2 linked regions of the Caenorhabditis elegans genome follow. The protein of the gene in region 2 purifies or fractionates together with the protein of the main gene of each other region. This does not show direct contact. Each region holds a gene or a part of one and is shown on either strand. Other genes may lie near its edges.

Region 1 (5,950 bases), on a different chromosome or scaffold from region 2:
TCGACACGAATTTTTATTATTGCTAATTGAGATACGTGTGCGCCTTTAAAGATTACTGTAATTTTATTTTAAAGTTTGCAACTACAGCTCTTTAAAGGCGCACACCTTTTCGCAATCAAAAATTTTTTGTCGTGTCGAGACCCTAGGTACCGTAGTTTGGGCTCGAAAATCGCAAAATTTGTCATATTTTTGCGATTTTTCATCTAAAAATTGACAACTTTTTAAAAATTCGGATATTTAATTTTTAAAAAGGAGTAAAATATGACGAAATCTGCAATTTTCGCGCCAAAACAACGGTACATAGGGTCTCGAAGCGACATATTTTTGTTTAAAAATGTGCGCTTTTAAAGATTACTGTACATTCGAATTTTCATCAATTTTTCATAGTAAACTGTAGTTTTTGGATAAAAAATTTTCGAATTTTTATCGATTTTTTGATTAAAAAAATGTTCAAGACTACAGTACTCTTTTTAAAGGCGCACACCTTTTTGCAGTTAACAAAAAGTCGTCGTGTCGAGACCATAGATACCGTATTTTTGGCGCGAAAAGCGCAAAATTCGTCATATTTTTTCGATTTTTCCTCTAAAAATTGACAAATTTCAAAAAATTCGGATATTTAATTTAAAAAAAAGAGAAAAATATGACGAATTCTGCGATTTTCGCGCCAAAACTACGGTACCTAGGGTCTCGAAGCGACACATTTTTGTTAAAAAGATGTGCGCCTTTAAAGATTACTGTAGTCTCGAATTTTTATAGATTTTTTGATTAAAAAAATGTTCAAGACTACAGTACTCTTTAAAGGCGCACACCTCTTTGCAATAAACAAAAATTGTCGTGTCGAGACCAGGAAACGTAGTTTTGGCGCAAAAAGTGCAAAATTGGTCGTATTTTTCAATAAATTATCCAAAATTTTTCGAAATTAGCCAATTTTTAGATAAAAAAAACTCAAAATTTTCGTTTTACAGCTTAAAAATTGCAAAAATACGCGAATTTTTCATCGGAAAAATCGAAAATTTCACTGGATTTTCGATTTTTATTCAAAAATCGATAAAAATTGAAATTTTCGGTCATTTTTTCTGGAAAATTCAATTTTTTCCACCAAAAATCGATAAAAATCAATAATTTTACCTTTCCCGTCGTAATCGGCTCGTTGATATATTGATTACTCATCTGAAAACTGAAAATTTTCCGCAAAAATCTGAAAATCGCCGGCTGAAATATTCACACAGAACAAGTAACTATTGTTTGAAAATATCGATTTTTTGTTATTTGTCGGCAAGAAATTTATTTATATAAATATATATAGGTTTTGAATATCAAAAATACTGGAAAAAAAAGCTGCTACTAATATCTACACTGTAGAGAGGAAAAAGCCAAATTTCAAGCCAAAAAATTCACGAATTCACCCAAATTTTGGATTTTTTTCGGTCAAAATTCCGGGAAAATTGATGAAAATCAGCTAATTTTACAATATAATTTAGAGGAAATCTGGGGGAAAATTGGGGAAAACTAAGGGAAATTCTACAATTTTGAAGCTGAAATTCCGGGAAAAATCAGCTAATTTTACGGCTAAAAATTAGGGGAATCAATGAAAATCAACCAATTTTACGACCAAAATTTAGGGGAATCGGTGAAAAATCAGTGGAAATCCGGAAAAATCTGTGAAATAGGGGGAAATAAATAATAATTTAAGATCTGGCGTTGATAATCTTGACAAAATCGGGTTTCAACGATGCTCCACCGACCAAGAATCCATCGATATCCGGCTTCTTTCCAAGCTCAGCCGCATTGTCAGCAGTCACAGATCCTCCATAAATGATTCTCGTGGCATCGGCGACAGCTGGTGAGACCTTCTCTTTGAGGAATGCACGGATCCATTCATGAACCTCCTGGGCTTGTTCTCCAGAAGCAGTCTTTCCGGTTCCGATGGCCCAAACTGGTTCGTAGGCGATCACAATGTTCTCCCAGCTGACACCCTTGTCGACGATGGCTTGAAGTTGACGGAAGTTTACCTGGAAATTGGAAAATTTGGGTCTCGAAGCGATCGATTTTTGAAATTTATTTTTCTACAACATTAAAAAAAATCTTTATTTATAAGGAATTGGGTATTATTTTTCAGGAATTTTTTGTTTCAAATTTTATCGATTTTTCGAAAATTTTATATTCTTCGGGATTCTTTTTTTTTTTTGAATTTTTCGCGTTTTTGGGAATTTAAATTTGTATTTTTATATAAATTTCACGAAAATTCATTAAAAAATCGGGTCTCGAAGCGATTATTTTTGAACTTTTTTTGTTTTACCACGTGGAATAGGGAATTTAATCGATTTTTCGAAGATTTTTAAATAAAAATGTTTCTTCGGAGATTTTTTTTTGAACTTTTCTGCAAAATTCAAGAAAATTCATAAGAAATCGGGTCTCGAAACGACTATTTCAGGAGTTTTTTCTTTTTTATTGCCGGAACCAATTTTTTTGTTGAAAATTTGGCAAAAAAAAAAAGAATTATTTTTGGCGACCATTTTTTGTTGGAATTTTCCGCTTTTTTGGAAAATGATAAAATTAAATGTTTTCTGTTCAAAATTCACGAAAATTCATAAAAATCGGGTCTCGAAGCGATTATTTCTAATATTCGTTGCAGAAAGAGAAATATTGCGTTTTTTTTGAGGAAAAATTGAGCTCAAAACTATAAAATTCAGGGATTTTTTAAGAAGAAACTTTGAAAAATTCCCGAAAAACGTGCAAATTCGAAACAAAACCATTTTGGAATTTTCAAAAAATCTCAAAAACTTGATTTTTCTACTGAAATATTAGAAGAAATCGATTTTCTACCCGAAAAAATTAAGAAAAAAAATCTGAAAGTTTGAAAATGTTGAATTTTCAAATTTTCTTGCGAAAAATCGATAATTTCCAGTATTTTGCTCCCTTACATCCTTGGTGTGTCCGGCTTCACGCTCCTCGAGCTTCTCCCCAATGCAGAAAACGACCTTAATTCCAGCCTCGAGAGCATGCACGGTCTTCTCAGCGATCAGCTGAAAAAGAAATTTCAGATTAATTTCCCTGAAACTCGAATTTTTTATTGACACTTGGTGTCAGGCTGTCTCATTGCGGTTTGATCTACAAAAAATGCGGGAATTTTTCTGCCAGAAAAATGTGACGTCAGCACACTCTTGCGAAATCAGTGGAAAAGTCTGCGTCTCGAGAAGATCTTTTCCCGAATTTTTCGAAGATCAAATCAAAATGTATTAAACTAACAGCATCGCTTTCTCCAAAGACATGACGACGTTCCGAGTGTCCGAGGATCACCCATTCCAATCCAAGATCCTTGATCATTGCCGGCGAAATTTCCCCGGTGAATGCTCCCTTTGGCACTTTGTAGCAGTTTTGTGCGGCGACAAGCACACCGGCTTTAAGCTTGGATTTAGCGTAGGCCAGATATGGAGCTGGTGGAGCAACGACGACATCAACGGAGGAATTGTCGGCTGAGGCGTTGAGGAAGGTGACGATACCATCGACGGAGGCATAGTCTCCGTTCATCTTCCAGTTTCCTCCGACGAAGAACTTGCGAGTCATCTTGATTCTACAAGAATTATGGAATTTTTTTGTTGGAGGGAAATTTGGATAGAAATTCAGAATAAGGAGGAGAAAACGATAGAAGAATTGCTATTCTTTGTGAAACCGAGAGTATCGATTTTCCCGATTTTCTTGCCCTGTATTCTTTTCAAAAAGTGGCTCAAATTTAATTTTTAAAAATGTCGTCTCGAGACCTGGTATGGCTCAAAAATCGTAATATTTCGCCTCTAGCTAATTTAGTATTGATTGGCAAATGTAAGAAAAGTATATAGTTCAGCAAAAACTTAACTATCTAAAGATGGTCTAGTCGAACGTTTTTTATTGTTTAAGTAGTCTCGAAATAGTCTAAAAACACCGAATTTCATAATGAAACTTCTTGAAAACTCCTCCAAAAAGTTATGGCGGCTCAAAAAATTACCTGAAATTAGTTAAAATTTGAAATTTAACCGACTTTTCAAGCGGCTAACTTTTTTGAAATAACCGTCTAATTTTGGGTATACAAGTTAATTTCTTGTTGCAGTTTCAACTCGATTTTGGTACATTTAAGCTCGATGTATCCCCCAGATGTTACCAAATTTAACCAAATCTGGTGACAAATCGACCTCAAATATACCTAAATCGAGTTGAAAACGCAAGATAATTAACTTATATACCCATAATTAGACGATGATTTCAAAAAGTTAGCATCCAGCCGCTTGACAAGACGGTCAAATTTCAAATTTTAACTAATTTCAGGTCATTTTTTGTACCGCCATAACTTTTTTTGAGAAGTTTTCAAGAATTTTCATTATGAAATTCGGTAATTTCAGATAATTTCGAGTCGAACACAAAAGGAATTTTTGCTGAACTATATACCTTTCTTACATTTGCCAATGAATACTAAATTAGCCAGAGGCGAAATTTTACGATTTTTGAGACACACCCGGTCTCGACACGACAAATTTTCATTAAATTCGAGTCACTTTTCGACAAGAATACTGACAAGAAAATCGTGAAAAGTCGATACTCTAGAGTCTAGGCAAAAATTAAAAATGACGCAAATGACTTTCGAAAATCGTGATCAATAGCCAACGTTTGATAAGGACGAGAGATAACAATGGAAAATCGAATTCGACATTGTTTTTTCGAAACAAATTTCAATCGAAATCAAGACTACACAACAAGTGAGATAGCGGGGTTTCTTCGATTTTATTTTTCTTTTTTTTGGCTGGCCAGCAGCAGCAGTCGAGAGAAACGAGACGATACAGTGTAGACAATGAAGAGACGGAGAGAGAAGGCGCAGTCCGAGTTTGCACGTATTTTGTAATGTTCTGAGTAGTGTGTGTGTGTGAATGGCAGAAGAGTGTTTGTGGATAGATTCGATTGGGAAGGGTTATTACGGGAGCACAAAATTCAGAGAATACGTACTGCACAACATATTTGACGCGCAAAATATCTTGTAGCGAAAACTACAGTAATTCTTAAAATGACTACTGTAGTGCTTATGCCGATTTACGGGGCTCGATTTTCAAAATGGATGCTTAGTTTTAATATTCTATTTATTTCAAAAAATCGAGCCCGTAAATCGACACCAGCGTTACAGTAGTCATTTAAAGAGTTACAGTAGTTTTCGCTACGAGATATTTTACGCGTCAAATATGTTGTGCAATACGCATTCTCATAGTATTTTGTTCCAGTAATATATATTTACAGGAAAATATGTTGGAAAACATCAGAAATTACAATGAAATTAAAATCACAGTGATTTTTCAAAAAAACGCTCCGCCCTTTTATTGGTTTTTTGCGTTTACGTCGCAGTTTGGCGAAAACTCGATTTTTTACCAAAACATTAATAAATGGACGGGATTTTTGTGAAATTTTTGAAAAAAAAGTCACTATTTTTAAGTTCAATTTGCAGTAATGCAGCTAAAAATCATTCGAATTTTCTATATATGACGTTTTCGAAAATTTAAATCTTCGCAAAGCACCGCCCATATATTGCCAAACTCCGCCCATTTATTGGTGCTTCTTCATGGTACAATTAAGCATTAAAAATCATACGCTTTTCGAATTTTGAAAACCTTTATCCTACAGATTTATAGTTAAATCCACAGCAGCTTAGAAGTATTATCAGATTATCAGGCTTAAAAAAACAATTTTTTCTAGATTTTTCGCCCCCGAAAATGCCTCTCATTGTAAGTTCAACATCATTTTTTTTTCATTTTTTCGGTCGAAAGAAAACCAAATAAATATGATGTGATCACTTCCACTACCTCGTGACACTTTTTATAACAAAAACATAGTTTTTGTTCGAAAATAGATATTTTCTGATTAGAAAAGTGCATTTTTTGGTGGAAATTAATTGGAAAATTTTGCAGCTGCTCGTGGTGTTATGGATCATAAA
Region 2 (7,165 bases):
GAAGAAGAATTAGAGAACACAAAAAGTGTTTAAAAGATCATTTGGCTTGATTGAAACATGAGAAAATTCTTTCAAAAAGTGCACGACTTTAGAAAAAATAATTAAATTGATAACATTATAATATTTTTAAAAATAATATGAAATAAATACTGAAATTCAATAAATTTCTAGCAAAGAAAACGCAAAAAACAAACAATCAAATCAATGTTTCGGCCGACGAGTCTCGCAACGAAAACATAGCAATGAACGAATGTTGTCTGTGCCTTTAAAAAGTACCGTAGTCAAATAAAATATCAAGCCTAGAATGAGTTCGAGATTGCAATTCACCAATGATTAGATGCAGAATATAAAAACAAACATTTAAAAATTAATCACGCGAAAAAGTATATTTCCTACGTAAAGTTTATAATATTCGGTTCAATTACTTCATCATAAAATATTCAGTTCTTCGTTTTTTATCACTCAATACAAGCTAATTGAAAAGGTGAATTTATTGGATTTATTTTTCTTTCCTAATTTTTTCTAACTTGCAGCTGAATCCACTTCGATAATGTCAGAAGCACCGAAGAGAAGCGAAAAATCTGCTGATTATAAAAAAGCGGTGGCAAAACAGCGACGCATTAAGAAACTTCGCAAAATGAAGATTAAAGATAGAGCTGGTGACGTGGTTGTCAGTGATATTTCTGACGTTGAAGTTGTTGGAAATGGTGATGAAGAATCACAGGATGATTGGTTGAATGATCTTCTGAAGAGTGATGGTGATGGTGGAAAAGCCGGACCGGTTGATCCTTCGCATCCAATGGAAACCACAACAACTGATCATTCTTCACAAAACACTCTGGCATCAAAGATCTGTGCATTCACTTATGATAACTCGGTAAATTTGGATTTAGCTTTCATTTGAGTATACTCCAATCAGTTTATTTTAAAGGCTCTTCTTGGCGTTGGAATCGTCACGGTGGCCCTCAGTATCTTCGCCCGTCTTCGTAAATGATCAATAAATGAACAAGAATAAATAGTTGTGTCTTTTCATGGAAATAAGAATCAATTACAAAAAAACGAAAACGAAACAAAACAATATCTACTCATACATAAAAACAATCTCATGGAGGTTGTGATGACTACTATGGGAAAATTGGGAATGAACTGAAGTATTTAGAAAATGTTTTTCACTTCTCTAATGAATTTTCAAAATACTTCAATTCAGTATACATTACATTACAGTTTGTTGAAAATGAGTATTTACTACAGGTTTTGAAGAGAAAATAGTTTTCCAATGAAACATTTATTTGCTCTTTGCGAATACTTCCTTCATTCTGTTGAGGGCAGATCCGGCCTTGAACCACTCGATTTGTTGCTCGTTGAAGGTGTGATTCAAGGTCACTTCCACCTTTGATCCATTGGTCTTCTTGAAAATAGCCGTAAGTGGCTTTCCTGGAGCAAAACTGGAGAGTCCGACGATAGAAACATTGTCTGATGGATCGATTTTGTCGTAGTCAGCTGGGTTGGCAAATGTGAGTGGGAGCATTCCTTGTTTCTTCAAGTTCGTCTCTGAAAAAAATAAGTTATGGCGCGTTGAGGAAATAAGCAAGGTAAATTTTATTTATTTTGAAGACTAACTGACCGTGAATACGGGCGAAGGATTTCACGATGATAGCTCTTCCTCCAAGATGACGTGGCTCAAGAGCAGCATGTTCGCGAGATGAACCCTCTCCGTAGTTCTCGTCTCCGATAGCAACCCATCTAACTCCATCAGCCTTGTATTTGCGGGCAGTGGCTGGAACGGCTCCATATTCTCCAGTAACTTGGTTCTTGACCTTGTTCATCTCTCCGTTGTCAGCATTGATAGCCGTAAGGAAAAGATTATTCGAAATGTTGTCCAAATGTCCACGATATTTGAGCCATGGTCCAGCAGCAGAAATGTGATCAGTAGTACATTTTCCGGTAACCTTGATGAGGATCTTCATATCTTCGAGGTCCTTTCCATCCCACTTGTCGAATGGAGACAAAAGTTGAAGACGATCAGAAGATGGAGATACATCAACCTGTCCGCTTCCAGATGGGGCTTGGAATGTGTCCTCTCCTGGATCGTAACCCTTTGGTGGAAGGTCGAGTCCAGTTGGAGCCTGGAGTTTGAATTTGCTTCCTGAAATGATAAACGAGGTTGAGTAATGAAAAAATATAACTATTCAAAATGTTACTAACCATCAGCGGCGGTGAGCTCATCAGTAAGTGGATTGAAGTCAAGACGTCCGGAGATGGCCATAGCAGTTGTGATATCTGGAGAAGTAACGAAACCGTGAGTGGCTGGGTTCGCATCATTTCTTCCGGTGAAGTTACGGTTGTATGATGTGACAATTGTGTTTTTTTCTCCCTTCTTCACATCCTGACGATCCCATTGTCCAATACATGGTCCACAGGCATTTGCGAGAACCATTCCTCCGAAATCAGCGAAAATCTTGGAGAGTCCGTCTCTTTCAATAGTGGCACGGACTTGCTCGGATCCTGGGGTGATGGTGAAAATGGTCTTAGCCTTGAGTCCCTTATCAAGAGCTTGTTTGGCAATGGAAGCAGCACGGGTCATGTCTTCGTATGAAGAGTTGGTGCATGATCCGATAAGTGAGACCTTTACATCGAGTGGCCATCCGTTCTTCTTGGCGTTTTCTCCAAGTTTGTCGATGGAAGAGGCAAGATCTGGAGTGAATGGTCCGTTGACATGTGGAGTAAGAGTGTCGAGGTTGATCTCGATGATTTGATCATAGTTAGCTCCATCGTCAGCAGTGAGGAGATCTTTGTACTTTCTGGCTTCTTCGGCGATTTCTTTACGTCCAGTAGCTTCCAGATACTTGTACATGCTCTCGTTGTATGGGAAGACAGATGTCGTAGCTCCGATTTCGGCTCCCATGTTGCAGATGGTTCCCATTCCAGTTGCAGAAATAGAATCCACTCCTGGGCCGAAATACTCAACAATAGCTCCAGTTCCTCCTTTGACAGTGAGGATATCAGCAACCTTCAAGATAACGTCCTTGGCAGAAGTCCATCCGTTGAGCTTTCCAGTGAGTTTGATTCCAATGACCTTCGGGCACTTGAGCTCCCATGGAATATCAGCCATAACATCTACAGCATCGGCTCCACCAACTCCAATACAAAGTCCTCCAAGTCCTCCTCCGTTAGGTGTGTGAGAATCAGTTCCGATGAGAAGAAGTCCTGGGAAAGCGTAGTTCTCAAGAATGATTTGATGGATAATTCCAGATCCTGGCTTCCAGAATCCAACTCCATATTTGCTTCCAGCAGTAGCAAGGAAGTTGAAGACTTCTTTGTTGAGGTCCTAGAAATCGAAATATATTTAGGGTGAAGAAAATTTAAGTAAAATAATTTTTTCGCAAATATCACAAACCTTAGCACGGGCCAAATCTTGGGCTCCACCCTTTTGAGCTTCAATCAAATGATCGCAATGAATAGTTGATGGAACAGCTGTCTTTGGAAGTCCGGAGCTGATGAATTGGAGCATAGCCATTTGAGCGGTAGCATCTTGCATAGCAACACGATCTGGACGAAGACGAAGGTATGAAACTCCTCTCTCAATATCTTGAGTTTTTGGTTGATCCAAATGTCCATAGAGAATCTTTTCGGAAAGCGTCAATGGACGTTTCAATCTGAAACAATATATTTTTTGTTTTTATCAGTAGAAAAACTAAAATCTATTTTTAAAGTTTTTAGTTAGACTTAACGATGTTTCCTTCATGAGTTCAAAGTACTGTCACACGGCAAATATCACCTCGGCTTCAAAGTTCGACCAGTCTGGAGACTAGAGAATGTGGTCCACATGAATTTCTATGCAACGTTCAACTAGATAATTTTCATAATTTCTATTGTGACATCACAATTAATGACACCAGAAATTAGATTTTGCATCATCAAAAGTTGAAAAGAATAGTGATGTACACTTATGAAACTGTATTATGGTCAAAACGCCCTCTCACAACATGTTGACATTAATCAGAGAACAGAGATGGAAAAGATTCGACGTTTTCTTGGTTCTCTCAATGACGCTCTAACCCATCTTCTTATTACAACGGAACTCTGTTTGTTTCTCTCTGCGACCCTTGGCTTGTGACTGCGATTTGGGTGAGCTTTCACTATTCGAGAGTTAGAAATAACATAAAAGAACCTATAACTGAACTGTATGTGTTGTAATGTCAGTGGCGCACATGACTATTCACCATAAACATCATTAATTGTATGATAACGAACAGAAAGCAGTGAAGATACTTTGTACTTGACAAGCTAAACAAATTGAACTTTACACACCTGTCTTTCACAATCTTCACAGTCTGAGATAGTTTCTCGTACGGGAGGTACGACTTCGGCTCGAATTTACTGATTGCAACTTTGCTCTGAAAACAAAAGATTTATAATAATTATGCTTAGGTTTGAATACCCAGATGGACGAAGAGGAGTGAAGTGCGCGATAATGTGCAGGTCCAGCCAAGTGGCTCAACCGAAGAAGAGAATTCATGGTTTCTCCTGTAAATTACAGAACAATGAAAGATTTTCACAGAAATTCCTGTCCGACAAAGGGAAAGAAATAGAACCTATTTAAAAAAATTAAAAGAAAGGATAATATTCATAAACACAGGCCTAAAACTTAATTTGGAACAATTAAAAAGCTTTTCTCTGCAGTAAATAACCCCTCGGAACGAAAACAAGTGATTCCGCAGCGAACCGAAAAGAAAATGATAACGCATCGGTCAGCAGAGACGGCGTGCATGCCGAAAATGAATGGGAGGAGAAATGAAAGCGCGAAACTTGGGCGCCTCCGGTCAGCAAACACGCCATTGAATGATCACTGGCGCTATGCTCGTTTGAAGGCGCATGGGGTTTCGACAGACTTTGAGTCTCGCAACGATTTTATTCACTAACCTATTTGTAGGACTTTTAGCATCATTCCTTCGTGTTTCACTCCTGAAAAGATGGTTGCCGACGTCAAGAGCCCAGCTGGACTTGCTGCTTTCAACACTACTCTCGCCGAGCAGGCTTTTGCCACTGGGTTAGTCTTTAAATTCTGAAGTTATGCAATTTTTAGGAAAAAATGCAGAAAATAGGTGTAATCAACTCTTGTAAATTTTTCAGATAGTCTATTCATTGAAATAATTTGAAAATTATAGCTTCGTCTTGTCTGGAGAGGACGCCCAACTTTTCGCCGCTCTCGGATCCGCCCCAAACGCCTCCACCTATCCAAATGTTGCCCGTTGGTACGCTAATGTAGCTTCTTACACTGATGCTGAGCGCAAGACCTGGGCTTCCGCCGGAGGATCAGCTCCAGCTGCCGCTGCTGCTGATGGAGATGACTTCGATCTTTTCGGATCCGACGATGAGGAGGAAGATGCCGAGAAGGCAAAGATCGTTGAGGAGCGTCTCGCCGCTTACGCCGAGAAGAAGGCCAAGAAGGCTGGACCAATTGCTAAATCTTCAGTCATTCTTGATGTAAAGCCATGGGACGATGAGACCGACCTCGGAGAGATGGAGAAGCTCGTTCGTTCTATCGAGATGGACGGACTTGTCTGGGGAGGAGCTAAGCTTATCCCAATTGGATACGGTTAGTGGATTGAAATTCACACAATTAAAATTTATGTAAACTTTCAGGAATCAAGAAGCTCCAGATCATCACTGTTATCGAGGATCTCAAGGTTTCGGTTGATGACCTCATCGAGAAGATCACCGGAGACTTCGAGGATCACGTCCAATCCGTCGACATTGTCGCCTTCAACAAGATCTAGAGGAATCTTTATATTTCTTGTTATGTTTTCATCAAGATAAATGAACCCATATATTGCAAAAAATGTTACAACATTGAAAGAAACACTCTGAGCATCAATAAGAAATCCTCCCGACTACGAAAGCGAAAAAAATTGTTTTTTAAAGAACTATGATTAAATTAGAAGCACAGTTCATTCTCTTCTGAAAATCGTATGAAGTCTCATAATTGCACAAAGTTACGATATAAGAATAATTGGAAGGGGTAGACTGAAGTGGGCAGGGTCACCACTATACAGTCCAGATTCCCGTTCGCAACGAGACCATATATTTTTACCTTGTGGGAAAACCAATCGATGTTTTCTAATAGTAAGTAGACCCCGCATGCTGTTCATCTCGAGATCTCTTCTCCCCATTTTGTATTTCCAGTTATTCAAAAAAATGTCACCTTTTCGTTTATTATCACTTCCTACACTTGCTTTGAAGAATGTACTTCTTCATATAGACTTTATTGATTTGTAAGTTAATACTTTATATAATAAGACAAACACCTTGAATTCAGGTTGGAACTATCACTTGCTTCGAAAAAATGTGAAATTTACATGAAAACTTGCTGCTTAAAAATTGATTCCTTGCATTTTCATTTTCGACGTATTCAACTAAACTCAAAATCCAAATCATTAGAGTTTGATTTCAATTCTGTTGTCGATATTTCTGCGTGTTCACGAAAAGTCAAGGGCAGCCGATATGACGCATGGTAAGTGTTGGGACATATAATATATGTACATATATTTCATTCAAGTTACAATTAGGTTGGTCCTCGCTTAACATCTGAGGATTCTGGCTATTTTTTCACAATAAAAACACTGCAGAATTTTTGTGACTTTAATATTTTCGAAAACAATTATTTTCTGACGCAAAATACTAAAAAATACTGTACCCCGTCTCGACCCGACAAATTTTGTTTTGTTTTCTCGCGAGATGTTTGCGCCTTTAAAGATTACTGTAACCTGAAACTTTCGTTTCTGCGGAATTTTCAATTAATTAATTTCTATAACGTTTCTATATAAATATATGTATTTATTTAGAAACTGAAAGGCAACAGTAAGAACTATTGCCTAATATGCGAAAACGATGAAAATCCCGCAGCACCGGAAGCTTGATAGTACAGTACTCTTCAAAGGCGCATGCATTCTCGCTTTCAACAAAACTTGTCGTGTCGAGACCGTTACCGTGGTTTGGCACAAAAATCGCAGAATTTCGTGTCTGGATAATACGGAAGAAATTTCCACTCCATGTGATTTCTGAAATCTCTCTCAAAAAATTGTTTCCAGGACAAAAAATTACGATGAAAGTCGAATAATTTGTATTCCAACAAACTTCGATGAAGACATCATTGCCGTATTTC

What was found.
Region 1: the proteins of aco-2 (region 2) and tpi-1 fractionate together in Caenorhabditis elegans (co-fractionation; one large-scale study listed by BioGRID). This does not show direct contact.

The regions. Positions count from the first base shown.
Region 1 is NC_003280.10:12,035,566-12,041,515, forward strand, and holds tpi-1 (Triosephosphate isomerase), read right to left. Parts: upstream 3,575-5,950; 5' UTR 3,568-3,574; coding exon 3,250-3,567; intron 3,027-3,249; coding exon 2,925-3,026; intron 2,013-2,924; coding exon 1,689-2,012; 3' UTR 1,270-1,688; downstream 1-1,269. Other genes in the region: cyn-16 (Spliceosome-associated protein CWC27 homolog), read right to left, coding at 1,129-1,170. UniProt on the Caenorhabditis elegans protein: Triosephosphate isomerase is an extremely efficient metabolic enzyme that catalyzes the interconversion between dihydroxyacetone phosphate (DHAP) and D-glyceraldehyde-3-phosphate (G3P) in glycolysis and gluconeogenesis.
Region 2 is NC_003281.10:7,971,079-7,978,243, reverse strand, and holds aco-2 (putative aconitate hydratase, mitochondrial), read right to left. Parts: upstream 4,528-7,165; 5' UTR 4,520-4,527; coding exon 4,442-4,519; intron 4,404-4,441; exon of another isoform or gene 4,398-4,403; coding exon 4,312-4,397; intron 3,657-4,311; coding exon 3,398-3,656; intron 3,329-3,397; coding exon 2,206-3,328; intron 2,147-2,205; coding exon 1,625-2,146; intron 1,552-1,624; coding exon 1,286-1,551; 3' UTR 995-1,285; coding exon of another isoform or gene 932-994; 3' UTR 889-931; downstream 1-888. Other genes in the region: C06G4.4 (uncharacterized protein), read left to right, coding at 551-877, 932-994; eef-1B.1 (putative elongation factor 1-beta/1-delta 1), read left to right, coding at 4,974-5,050, 5,169-5,599, 5,647-5,780; F54H12.5 (uncharacterized protein), read left to right, coding at 6,142-6,275, 6,320-6,514, 7,092-7,165. UniProt on the Caenorhabditis elegans protein: Catalyzes the isomerization of citrate to isocitrate via cis-aconitate.